Linked DNA regions of Drosophila melanogaster. Changing the gene in region 1 together with any one later gene gives a genetic interaction. Each region holds a gene or a part of one and is shown in the gene's direction. Other genes may lie near its edges.

The links.
Region 2: of beat-Ia (region 1) and side, changing one suppresses a phenotype caused by changing the other (phenotypic suppression), as found in Drosophila melanogaster (one study listed by BioGRID).
Region 3: of beat-Ia (region 1) and unc-5, changing one enhances a phenotype caused by changing the other (phenotypic enhancement), as found in Drosophila melanogaster (one study listed by BioGRID).

What each region holds. Positions count from the first base shown.
Region 1 is NT_033779.5:16,048,406-16,053,018, forward strand, and holds the start of beat-Ia (beaten path Ia), read left to right. Parts: upstream 1-1,559; 5' UTR 1,560-2,305; intron 2,306-4,613.
Region 2 is NT_033777.3:27,434,457-27,439,151, reverse strand, and holds the start of side (sidestep), read left to right. Parts: upstream 1-1,669; 5' UTR 1,670-2,229; exon of another isoform or gene 2,230-2,962; intron 2,963-4,695. Other genes in the region: CG44290 (uncharacterized protein), read left to right, coding at 31-190.
Region 3 is NT_033778.4:15,338,607-15,343,497, forward strand, and holds the start of unc-5 (unc-5), read left to right. Parts: upstream 1-1,865; 5' UTR 1,866-1,997; intron 1,998-4,891. Other genes in the region: Hr51 (hormone receptor 51), read left to right, coding at 1-1, 80-241, 305-469, 532-714. UniProt on the Drosophila melanogaster protein: Receptor for netrin required for motor axon guidance. Mediates both short- and long-range axon motor repulsion in the developing nervous system upon ligand binding. Also involved in glial migration.

The sequences.
Region 1 (4,613 bases):
GTACTCAAATTCCAAGTAGCATAGCTGCGCTCGGGAAAGTGCACAGTTTTCCCAGTGTGCCAATAGGTCGTAGTTGCCTTTATTTTAAGCGATTAATTTATTTTGAAATTATTTATATAGGAAACCGTCTTAAGCAAAAAAAAAAAATATTGTGAATTATTTATGAAATCTAACTAAACGAAATCACTTGTTGTAAGAAATGAATTTATGTAAACTAACTGAAAAAGAAAAAAAAATTAAAAACAAAAGCACAGCATGTATTAAGTGATAAGCAAAATAGTCACGCACAAACATTTGATATGAATAAATTGATGTCTATGAAAAATCAACTAAATATATTTTTTAGTAGATTATTAGATTAATATGATTTGCTTAATTTTGTAGAAACATTTGTAATATATGTACATTAAGTCGTTGCCGCTTTGAACTCTTTTAGCCTGGTTGGAATAGAGGTTAATGACTTTATTGTCTCCAGTTGTCTGCATAATTTGTATTGCCTCGCCTCGTGCCAAGAAGTCTTGCAAAGCAACAAAATCGAATGTGTGTCCTTACACGAACTAAACGGGCGGCAAAAGGGGCGTGGCTGAGCTAATGAACTGGAAATGTTTTGCTCCAGTTGCCGGTGGTTGCTACCGTGTTGCATCAGCATAATTGCAAATTTTTATGATTATGACACTTTGGGCGCAAAGTGCCTTTGCCAATGGCAACTAATTTCTGCAGCCATCTCAGTCCCAGTCTGGTGGTCATCTACATGGGGCTATGCTCCACTTAAGTACTTCGAGTGGGCTTTTGCGGGACATTTTGGCAAGCGGCTTGATTTACAATTATGCTGGATTTGAATTTGGATCCCAAGTGGAGTCACTGACCAGCCCGAGAGTCGCCAGTTTCGGCCTCCATTCGTCAATGCTGGTCCCATTTTAAGTAGAGGAAGTGTTGTGTAATGGGAGGACATAGTTAAGTGGCCATAAGTATAATTTGAGTATGTGTTTCCTCGGCCTTTCAAAAACAGTAGGAAAATATATATATTTTTATAAATTTCTTTCGAAAGAAGTTGAAAATTGAATTAACCACGTTAAATTTACTTTCCATATACTTTTTCCGTACACTCAGACAGGAAGAAGTATTTCTAAAATATATGCTTATTTAAGCATACTTACCTTCCGAAGTCTTGTAATTAAACTCTAACATGTATTTAAAAAATTTAAAGTAAATTTAAAATTTAAAAATTTATTAAATTTAAAAATAATGTTACAATTGGTTTTTTTATATTGTACACAGTAAGTTGCCGTTTAAAGTGGCAGTCGTGGTGAGTACAATCAAGCAGTCAAAACGAAGCAGTTCTCTTAGGCAAAGCAGTGGGAAGGGGAAATCAAGCAGTGGAAGGGGAACCAAGCAGAGTTAGCAATAGAAGCATTTATGGATAAGAAACCCACCACACGGGTGCTCTCTCTCTCTCTCTCCTCGCTTTTCCATTCGTGATTTTCCGATGAAGGACGTCGGATTCTCCGAACCATCTTCGTTGGCCATTCGCCAATTGGGAAATCTGTGCACAGGACTCGCAGTGTCGCGAATCCTTCGACTCCTGCTGCAGTTTACATTGCGTTGTCCGTGCGTAAGGACGTGCGTAGATCATCATTTCAATTTTCGCAGTATTACGAGCATCGGAAATAACAGAAAAAATTGTTTAAAAAAAAATGGTTGAACTGCACTGAAACCGCAGGACTGAACCCAATTTTTGCTGTGGCGTGCGTGTGTGCGAGATGCAGTTTTTGTGTTTCTGACATAGCATTTACCAAAACAGAAGGCGGAAAATAGGGAAAAGGATCCGACGAAGGATCTGCGATAGTCCCAAACTGTGTGTGTGTGGGTAAGGCTGTTGCTTCGTCGCCACCAGTGCATGTGTGTGTGTGAGTGCGAGTGTGTTTGTGCAGTCACGTGTTCTAAGGTGATTTTAACGAGCTCCGTGATACGCGAAATGAGATAAGGAACGAGGAAGCAGCAGAATCGGGAGGAGTGAACGGCTTAGGCGGGCACAAAAAGGAGCAACAAGAAGCCACGCAGCCAAAGCCAACAACCAAATCCCCATTCGCCAGGACAGGATACTTGCTCGGTGCGCCTTAAAGGATTCTCTGATAAATCAACCGAAAATTGCATAAAATAAAATTGTTTGCCAAATTGTGCGCAGCGAGAGAACCAAAAAGCAAAAAAAACAAAACCTTATACTCACATGTGAAATATGACTAGCCAGTTGCATTGAAAGTACAAGAAAATAATAAGAGAGAAAATTTACCCAAATAACCTGAAGGTAGGAATACATTATAATCTCTTTGACACAAATTGATGCTTTGGGATATGATGTCAGGAAGGGTATTGGGATATGATTACGAATATTTAGACTCGTATACTAGAAACGCACAAGAGCGTATGTTATTTAAAAGAAAAACAGTTTTTTAACATTTGAAATTTGAAAAACTAATATTTTAATTTTGCTTCACAACAGAGTTGTAGAAAAATAGTTGATAAAGTTTATAATTGAGAATATTATTTGCAAGGGAATGCAAATAACGTTTGAGTAACAGCTCATAAGCCAGTTCAGCGAAAGCATCAACCTTTCACGAACTTTGAAGCATCCTCTGCGCTTCTGTAATTTCATATATCGCAATCTGCGACGTTTAATTTTGATGCACCATGTCCCTGCTCCTGGCAAGGCAATTTGAGGATTCCGGGGGTTTCCTTTCACATCCCAGCCAGCGGAAGATAAGCCGGAAGATGTACAGAAGGGCGTGCCCGTCTCATCCAACAGGCAAACAAAACTTGTCAATTGCCAGGGAGCGTGTCTCCGGGACCTCGGGCTCATCCTTTTTTGGTAAACATTTCCCATAGTTGCTGGGGAACTAGGCAACAATGTCTTGAGCTCAGTCCTAGCTGCTTCGATTTGCCCATTTTTTGTTGATGGAAAATGTCAACTGCCTGGCAGAGTTTTCATCCTCACTTTCGAGCAACCCACTGACTAGGCAAAAATTGTATTTAGTGGGACAATCAATATCGGATGAGGGAGGGGCAGTCAGTTGGGCGGCAGTCAAACATTTATTTGATTGACTGATTGATATGTGAAATGATTTATTGCCGCCGGAGGAGGAGGAGGAGGAGGAGGAGGAAGAGGAAAAGGCGAAGGCGAAGGACGAAGAAAAGTGCTGGCAAGTGTCCACAAACAGCTGAGTCGGAAAAGTTCCGAAACAAAACGAGAAAACCTTTAACCAGCCGAGCAGGAACATTTATTTCCCAGTCTATCTCTGCAGTTTTCCATATCCTGCTCTGTTTTTGCAGTGGAATTTCCACAGCTCTGTAAAAATGGCTCGGACCAAACTTTTTCGCACGCTTTATGGGAGAATAAAGTAAATAATGAAAGCTATTTAGCACAGCCAAGGGGCACATTAAGTCGTCGCCAGCCTTTTCGGATTATCCTGCGACCGGCTTAAAAATAACAATAGGACCAAGCAAACAGATGCACACTGTAAAAAAATAAACTCCGGCAGGATTTTTGAGTTAAAAATAAATAAATCTGTTAAAAGGAGTTATTACACATTTTGACTAACTCTCCTAAAAGTAAAGTGCTTATTTAATGAGAAGGAATATAAAAGGCGTATAAACTTTATGTCATACTTTTCCAGAAATCTACGAAACTTTTGTCATAAGTCATTATTAAAGGGAAATATAAAAATTTTCCGAATTATTTTACTAGCTTATTTTCATCTAGTTTGTCACCCATTACCAAAGTTACAGTATAATGAGCTCCCTTTTGGATTCGTATTATTTTACATGCATAAGCTTAAAAATTTGGCTAACCCAGAGATTATGAATTCCAACCAAAATCAAATCCTTTGAAATAGCACAATGTGTTCACCGAACTTCCTGGCGCTTAGTTCAAATTTTGAATATTGTCATAGATTTTATTCAAATAAAACGGACAGCATAATATTGGCATTGATAAATGGTGTGACAGCTCTTCGTATTATATTTTGGCCGTGTAATATCCGTCGAGAGAGGTAAACTGTGGCCGGCGTTTAATGAGCTGTGTCCTGATCTGAGCCTCGGATGACCGGCGGCTCCTTTCGCCAGTTCGCTGTTGAGCTGGAGAAATTTCAGCCATTTTTTACTGCCACCTGCAACGGTGTCGCATTCTTCTCTCGACCAGGTATTTCTCTTATAGCCTGGATCTTTTATTTTCGTTCTTTTTTAACTATTTGGTGGCGCTGCAAGTGCTGTGGCTTATGAAAAAGAACGCTGAGCGGAGGCACTCCGAAATTCGGGCGAAAATGCGAAAAAGAGGAACCTAACTAGGCGTGGGTGTTAATTAGTTTTTCGGCAAGTGCCCCGAAATTCTGTTTTCTTATTAGTTTTCACTTATTTGTTTAAGCTGATTATGTGCGTGTATACTCAACCAATGAGTTGTGCTAATCCTAAAGGAATTTGCTCGCAAATTTATGGCTTCGTTATCCCACTTGAGCTTTGATCTACAAAAGCTGGTTAAATGGCCAAGGATTTATTCAATTAGTATTGGCATAACTGAATTAGTCTTGGTTTCTGCCTTGCATTTAATATTTATTGCATAA
Region 2 (4,695 bases), on another chromosome or scaffold:
TTCTATTTTCTAACATTTCTGCTTCTGCAGTGGCCATACAATACGAGTGCGTCATGTGCATAGGTGTGAAGGTTGCCGCGGGCGAGCAGCTGAAGCTGCAACATCAACGTTGCTGCATAAAAGGCTAATGCCCCGGGAAAAGTGGAGGCCGAGCTGCCATCGAAGTGCCCTGGGTGGCTTGGTGGCTTAGAGGTGCAACAGCTTGGCAGGTGCAACTGCATTACCATGCGACAATCTGTTCCCATTTCCCAACAGTGGCGAATATTTTTATGGCCAGCCGGAAGCTGAGTTCACTGAGTTCACAAGTTTTGGAAAAAAGTTGTATTTAAAATAAGCTAGTTGAATTTATTTTATTATAGTTTTCAGTTTCATTTATAATTAAAAAAGAAAGCAAGAACATAACAAGAGAAAGGATGTATATTAATTGAATTTGAAATTTAACTTCTAAAAATATGAACCAATTATATTCAATAAACTTTTCTTCTTTATGTGGCAATTTGAAAACATATTCGTGTTTCCTTAGCAAATGTTGCTTTCATCATTGTCCCTCAACACTTAACGAACGCAACAATGCTGCGAGAGAGCGGAATAATGGAATTGTTCTGAAACATTCCTATGTGTTGTAGCAACATGTTGCATGTGCCTAAGGGCAATTGAGTTAAAAGGGGAAATAAGTTCATTTTACCATGGAAAGCTGTAATTGTTCTTATTTTCAATCAACGTATTATTAACCCTAAGTAAATATATTGATTTGCTTATTTGCATACCAGAGTACTTAAGAATTTATTTATTTAATTTATTATTTATATTAATTCATTTAATCGATTTTACAACTCCTAGAATTGAAACAGGATGCCATGCATGCATACATTTCTTAAGCGTCTAAAGCGTGTCACACGCCCAATTAAAATTAACCAATAATGGCTAAGTGCATCATTACCCACAGCTTACGACAGATCAAAGCCCGAACAAAATTGAGCAATTCAAGCAGCAAAACCACCGGGCGATAGTAAATGCTCAAAGGCCATTGATAATCCTTCGCCAGGACGACAACAAAAGCTTGTTCATGCCCCTAACCGGGGGATAACTCAATTATGTGGTAAGTTATGGACACGATTCGAACGACGGCGGAGTGGAGGGTGGCCAGAGTTGACCTAGGCTGACCCCCAAGGAGGGATAAAGCCTTTTGGGCACTTTGCTGTCAAATTAGTGCCTAGTTCGGTCCGCATAATTGGCCCAGCCGAAAGTTTTTACACGCAGCCATAAAAGATTTATGGAAATTATGCATGTGTTTTTTGTTTATCCTGTCTGGGCAAAGAGGGGGGGGGACTTATGAGCGGTGCCAATAAATCACATGGCGAGTGGCCCATTAATTGGCTGCAAGCGCGCCCGAGAGCCAAAACAACACTCGACCAGTTGCCAAAGGTCACGTCCTGGCCGCATGTTGCACGAGGACTCGCACGAGCAACATGCGGCACGAGAGAGCGCGGCAGGACTCGTGATCCGAAGCTCGTCGCCGTCCGAAGTGAAAAATCGTGAATGATATGCGGCATGTGTTGCTACCCCGTAGCAGCAGCAGCGAGCAGCAACGAGCGGCAGCAACAACATGCAGCAGCAGCAGCAGCAGCAGCCGAGCAGCGGCAGCTGCGAATGTTGTTTAGTTCTTATCCGTGGCTCACAGCGTTTGGTTCGTCGTGCGGGTGCTGCTCTATATATCGATAGCGTGTTTGGCTACATATATCTGTGCCATTGCTGGCGCTTGCCACTATTGCCACCACTACTCAGCAGGGATTGCGATTCTCTAGACAGTGTGTTTTGAATTCTTTTGGCCCTGGCCAACTTGCAATTTATGTGGCTAATTAGAGGAATAGGAGGCGGCGGCGGACCATTTGTGCGTGACTCTCGAGCGCCGTAAGTGCTGCGCATCGTTTACGTTTCGTGTGCCGCGCCCCTACCGCCCACCAGAAACAACAACGACAACAACGAAAAAAAAAGAAGAAACGAATTAACACAACGTGCCGGAAAAATAATAATACACTCAAGTTATCAAAACACTTGAAGAGAACTGGAAAAAGCGAAGTTCGAAATAACTGCAGTGCAAAAAAAAAAGCGAAAGGAAATCGAAATTTAGGGCAAAAGCGGATTACGAGCAGCAATAACAGCCGAAAGCGGAAAATGCGAATGAAAATGAAACTCCAAGTGCGGGCAAACAAACAGCAAGACTGAAAAGTGAGTTGCGGAAAATTCGTAAAAGTGCGTAGTAGAGCAGATAGAAGGACCCCCGAAGTAAATCATTAAATCATATGGAAATGTGAACGCGTCACTCTGCCTCATTAACGATTTCCCATTTTCGATTTTCCATTTCCCAATCAACCAACAATACCAATACCGCACTCCAGCTGCGTGCGGATCATCAATTAATTCCAGTCAGTTTTCGCACTTTAAGCGCCAAAAAAAGCAGCAATAAAAAGGAGTATTCCCACACAAAGAGAGCGCACAAATTAATGACACAATAACACACTGCGGTTTCATTTGTAGTGGTCAGTATATATATGAGTATATCAGTGTGTGTGTGTGTGAGAGTGGGCGCAACAGTTCGTCGGCCGTACAGCCTGCCCCCTTCGGTTTTGATTATGATTCCCATCTGATATGAAACGATCCAATCCGATCGGTCGCGTGGCATATAATTTATCACAATTGCCATCGTCTGGCGGGGCAAAGTGAAAGTGCATCGGAGCATCCGCAAGATACAAAGATAGTAGATACAAGATACAAATTGCTTATGCAGACATCTTTGCAAATACGGGTCAGTGCATTGGAACAATAGCTGCGAGCAGCAAAAGTTTTGCTCTCTATCTGTTGGCCAAGCAAAAACATAAATTAAACTTGCCAGTTGGAAGGCCTTGAAAGTTCCTCTGTCCTTTGGATTAGCTAGCCAGGGAAAGCCAAAGAGCAGCCGGGGGTAAGTTGGTCCTTCTGATTTGTAGCCATAAGTCCGTGCTCCGGAAGCTGCGCCTTCAATTCGCAATGCCATTCCATTGCATCCCATCCCATCCAGATCCCAGCCAGCTAGCCAGGATCCACAGACAGCCGGGGTTTGCTTATGGGACAGATTTGTTTGCCTTTCAAATTTTCATCTTTGAGTGGAATGCTGTTGTGATGGTCACTTGAGAGCTGAGATTTATGTCGTTGCTATAGGAAAGGAAAACAAATTAGGCCAAGAAAGTCATTAGTTTGGTAGAATTTTTCTTGCTGCTTGTGAATTATATTTTTAGACTATAACATATATTTAGCCAGTTCTTTATTATTACCCAATTAAATTTGGCTTGTTGAATTCACTTCGCTCTTTCCTGACAGTACCGAATCAGATTTCAACTACGGTTTCTTGATAAATCCATTACTAAAAACGTTAAATCTACTTCCTGCTCCCCACTCACTCCACTCGTCATTTTTTTAGCGGCATATTTTTTGCGAGCTGAGCAACCTTGGCAACAATCCAGTGAAATCCTTGCATGAATTTCGCTAAGCGCCTCTTGCCGCCTTGCATCCAACATGGGAGTTTTCCATGTGCGTGGCCCCATTCTTGGATTCCTGGCTACTGCCCCATATGGTGGCACACATAAAAAGCAAATCACAAAATCCACTGCGCAGCTCCGTTTCCAACCAGTGGCAAAATATAAGAGGGAATAATAAGCTCTCATATAAACGCTACAGCCGCAGGATATTTGCAAAGCCAACAGCCCTCCTACCAGGATCCCGATCCTGATCCTGAGCCAGTGTCGGCACGTATATACGCCATATGCCATATATGTATATGCTAGCCTGTCCAGAGAGTTCGGCTTCATTAAAGCAAATAGAAGCCCAGAGCATATACATATGTATGTACATATATGGTATAAAGCGAACTCAAAATCACCCACACAAAGTTGAAAATACGAACAAAGCGAAACAAAACCAAGCGAAGCGGAGCGTGGCAAAAATTGCGAACAGAAAGTTTTGGGGCAGCAGCATGAGAAGGAATTAAATTTAGGTAAATGCATTGAAGGAATTCAATTTTAAACAAAATGCTGCTAGCGTCACACAAGCGTCAGTTCCGCATGAAATGTGTACTATGTGCAAATATGTGAGCGGGAAAAGGGAAATGGTGGGAGTGGGAAAAGCGTTGGCATCGCTGCTGCAGAACGGCTGCCAAACAATAAAACTTTCAATACATATTTTATTTGACTTTATGCTGCAATTTTATGCATAATAAATCCTGCAGCCCGAACAATTGCTTCACACCTCGAGGGCTTCGTCAAAATGGATAAATATTATGGATAAATACAATCAGGATGGCAACCGAAAGTAGAAAACATTCAGCGAGCGACTTGTGCATAATGAAGAGACTCCTGCATGCAGGATAAGCGAATGGCAACGCTTTTGGCGATAACCATTTTGGAAATTCCATTTAGCCCGCAATAAAATAAATCCAGTTTGAGCCGAGTTCGCCAGCTGACACCGCTCGGGATCACGACGCATGGCGTTCGGGGCATTTGGGAAATAGATGAAAATGAATCCTGGCACATTTTCCAATTAACGAAATTTACAAAATGCCAACGCGCCTCGGCTAAGCCGTGCAATTAAAAAGCTGGAGCACGTAGAGTGCAACGTGGGCGGCTAAGCTGAGTGGGAAAATTGAGCGAGTGGTGGGTGGCT
Region 3 (4,891 bases), on another chromosome or scaffold:
GGTGAGATTAATATAAAAACCGATCAATAGCAGCCAGGGTCATTTACTCAAAACATAACGAAATATCCCCTGTGTGCAGGTAATTTTGCTGGAGGAGTCCTGGTCGGAGCTGTTCCTGCTGAACGCAATCCAATGGTGCATTCCCCTGGATCCCACCGGCTGCGCCCTCTTCTCGGTGGCGGAGCACTGCAATAATCTAGAGAACAATGCCAATGGCGACACTTGCATAACAAAGGAGGAGGTAAGTCTACACAGGACTCCGTCTAATATGTATATTATATATATGACCACAAATTTCTGCTAGCTGGCGGCGGATGTGCGAACGCTCCACGAGATCTTCTGCAAATACAAGGCGGTGCTGGTGGACCCCGCTGAATTCGCGTGCCTCAAGGCGATAGTTCTCTTCCGGCCGGAAACGCGCGGACTTAAAGATCCGGCGCAGATAGAGAATCTTCAGGATCAGGCGCACGTAAATATACTGCACTTTTCAAAAGCAATAAAAGCTTCATTGAAATTTTACTTAACGAACAGGTGATGCTGTCGCAGCACACAAAGACGCAGTTCACCGCCCAGATAGCCAGATTCGGACGACTCCTTCTCATGCTGCCGTTGCTGCGCATGATCAGCTCCCACAAGATTGAGTCCATCTATTTTCAGCGCACTATTGGGAACACGCCCATGGAAAAGGTGCTCTGTGACATGTATAAGAACTAGTTAACTCGAGCTTTAAGTTACAACAAATTTAAATAAATATGTTTTTGTGTCTTGAATGTTAGATGGCGTGACTTTTGATTTTTCCAGTTTTTCACCACTAGTTGCATATAATTTCATATAAAAATGCTATAGAAAACAAAGTTAAAAAAAAAAAAAAATTTGATCGAAAATTATGTGTACTTTTTTTATCTGTACAAAGAACAAGACGCCATGAATTAACGTATGAATTTGAATTTTTTAATGAGTTAGCGCCAAAAGTTTTAGTGTTCAATAACATACACGGTGCTGTGTTGTAAAATGTATATTTCTATACAACCAAGCTGGTTTCGCTACCGTCCCATAGAAGCCGTTGTGAGCCTTTTAGAATCTTAACACCAGATGTCGCACAAAACTAAAGTTAATTTTCTTTCGATCTGGCAGCACGTTTATAGTTCCTATTTTTGCCGCTAGGCTGTGTAAAATAAAAGAGGCGTGTAGAAATGAGCATGAATGTAAGATGTAAAATTGTGTGTTTATTGGGCACACTGGAGACTTTTTGAAATTGGCGCCAATAATAAACTTTTGTTTAGCTAACAAGCCACCACAGAAAATGCATACAGAGGCTTTTAAGTGATTAGAATTGTGATTCTAAGCACAATTTCTTTAACAATTTCTGATACATTTACATCAATTACATTTGGAACATTTAATTAAACTCATATTTGGGTTAAATTAAATAGGAAAAGCTAGGTTATTTACGGATTACGTACAGCGAATCAAATTTTTCAAAATTAAAGTACGAGTTCAAAAGTGTTGCTAGTTACGAAGTGAAAAGATACGGGAACCGTATCTCTTCTTGTTGGCGAAAACCAAGGAGTAGATTGTTGATATTTAGGTATTAATAACAGAGGGCAGGACTTTTCTAGATGATTTTAATGCAGAGTCTAGTTTATCAGAATAGAATTGTAAGCAACTATTTCAATTTTTAATTCTGGTTCACATACAATTAAAAAAAACTTAGTAACTATAGGTGCATATATACAAGACTTCCTTTCTTATCTGCGCATGATGCCGCCAAAGGATTCAAAGCAGCTCCCGGAAAACCTTCAACCCTGATTGGAGCCCTTGGGGTCAGCTGGTCACACTGGGCAACGGGAGTAATCTGCGGGAGCACAGGCTCCAATTTTGATGCCAAAGGAATGTGCTCGGCGAAAAACAAAAAGGCAAACAAGAATCGCACATTCGTCGGGAAAACTGCAGTCAATGTCTGGGCCATAAAATGTGCAATTAAGCCGCAATAGATGGTAAAGTTCAAGTGAAATAAAGAAGGAATTACATGGAAAAAACGGCCATCAAAGCCAACAAAAATCTTCTGGCTTAAATAGCATGTGTGTGTGTGTGTTTGTGTGAGTGCGTAGTGAAATTAGTGGTGCTGTGGGTGTGCGCGAGTTACCACCCCACCCCCTAAACCCCCACGCCTCTAAACAAATCATCGGACACTCAACCGGGAAGACGGCAACTGGAACACCGCATCCGGCCGAATGCTGACATTCCGGCCGAATGCTGACATTACACAAAAGTCGCACTGCAACATTGTCCCCAGCTAGCCAGCCACATGCCGAGTCGGCATGTTCATTATGCTTACAATTAAGAACCTATGTACTTATGTATAAGACGAAAACGGAGGACTCGAGTAGCCACTCTCTGACAATAAACTTCATACTGATTTTGAACTTCAAGAAAGTCAGTCGTATTCTTTATTGGAAATCTTCACACTACAACTATCTGCTGAAACTTAAAAACCTTCATACATTTACACATCATATCTTCACAAAAGGCTCCACCCTCGATCACGGACTTAACTGGCGCAGCCGGTAGGATGTCCTACCTATTAATAATTACCTACCTGTAAGTAAACATGTAAGAAACGAAACAAACTATATGCAAGATGTCGACTGAAAGTGACTAGGAACAAATTTTTATAAAACAAAATTGAAGTTGTGAAGTACCAAATGAAACTCAAACATATATTCAAACACAGGAAAAAAAAAGAGAGAGGAAAAATGTAAAATAAATAAATATACAAAAAAAAAGTGCAAGTGTACCGTACTGCCGCGCTGACGTGGAATCTATCGCTGATCATCACGCCATCGGTATGTCCATACTCTGCCGAACGTCATAATTTTTTTTAAAAAGTGCAAGTGTACCGTACTGCCGCACTGACGTGGAATCTATCGCTGATCATCACGCCATCGGTATGTCCATACTCTGCCGAACGTCATAATTTTTATAAAAAAGTGCAAGTGTACCGTACTGCCGCGCTGACGTGGAATCTATCGCTGATCATCACGCCATCGGTATGTCCATACTCTGCCAAACGTCATAATTTTTATAAAAAAGTGCAAGTGTACCGTACTGCCGCGCTGACGTGGAATCTATCGCTGATCATCACGCCATCGGTATGTCCATACTCTGCCAAACGTCATAATTTTTATAAAAAAAGTGCAAGTGTACCGTACTGCTGCGCTGACGTGGAATCTATCGCTGATCACCACGCCATCGGTATGTCCATACTCTGCCAAACGTCATAAGTTTTTATAAAAAAAAAAGAGTGCAAGTGTACCGTACTGCCGCGCTGACGTGGAATCTATCGCTGATCATCACGTCATCGGCACTTACATACGCTGGCCAACGCATCGCCAAAGCCTCTATATACACTTATATATGTGAGCATACAATATCAACTACAATCCAATACATCCACGTACTGTACCGCCTCGTTGGCATGGAATCAAACGCTGATCACCATGCCACCGTGGTAAACAAACAAAGCACCAAAGCCTCTCTAATACATTGTACACTCAAAACGCACACTGCCATACGTCGGCGAAAAATCAAAACATAAGCAAAAATCATTTCAAACCAAGCGAGGCTCATTCTGCGTACCACAACGACAACGACACTGCATGTGTAGTGGCGCACCCATGTCTGGGTAGCCGAGGTAAGGGGAAAACGCTTGAGTATCGTCAAGTGTTCTTGCCTTTCACTCTTCTACAATGGGTTGCTACGCTCATGTATTGCACATTCAAAATAACCAAAACAAATGTACTAAAGAAGTCGACATATACAGATATATTTTGTTTCCTTTCATTGTGTAATTTTGTATATCAAACAAATACTAATACCAATCACATTGCAGAATATAAAAGGGAAAATATAAAGCCAAAGACAGACACCCATACACTCTAGTAAACAAGAAATTTGTTCATTATTTTTCAATCATACATAATATACTAAGTAACCTCAAATTTAATGTCAAAAAAGTTCGTTTACAACCTTAGGAAAACTACACGTTCAGTTGTTGGAGTTCCACCAAACACTAATAGGCCCCCACATCCCGTTAGACGTCCTGACTCCCTTCTCCCGATTTCGGAAGAACCCAAATCAATATCTTCCCAAACCCCCAATATGGACTCGGGAAACGATTCTGCCCGCCCCACTCCATCCCCTCTGGCGCCCACTGTCAGTGGTATTAGCTCCTTAATTTCAACTACGTTCAAGCCTAAAGATATCATGGCATTTGTTGAGCATTTGCCAACCTTTGATGGTACACCTCGTCTATTGGACAGGTTTATCACTAGCGTAGAAGAAATCCTGATGCTCATCAGGGGAGCTGACCAAACACCGTATGGCCTGCTTACTCTGAGGACCATCAGGAACAAAATCATTGATAGGGCCGACGAAGCCTTGGAACTGGCAAATACCCCCTTGGTTTGGGATGAGATTAAAAGCAATCTCATCCGCCTCTACTCGAGCAAGAAAAGCGAGGCCAACTTGTTAAGCGAGCTTAACACATTTTCGGACAACCTGACCTTGGGCCAACTGTTCTTTGGTATATCAAAGGTGAGAAGCCAACTCTTCTCCATACTCAAAAACAGCGAACACAACAACACTGTTGTAGATGCAAAAAAGGTTGTCTACAACGAGGTTTGTCTCAATGCTTTTATGACTGGTTTGAAGGAACCTCTCAAGACTTTCGTCAGGATAAAGTCCCCTTCTACACTTGAACAGGCGTACGAGCAATGCCAAATAGAGCAGACCTTATATAGGGCACAAAACAAGCGAACCAACAGACCAGAGCAGGGACCCAATGGATCAGACAATAAAACCTACCGAAATAGCTACGACAGCAATTACC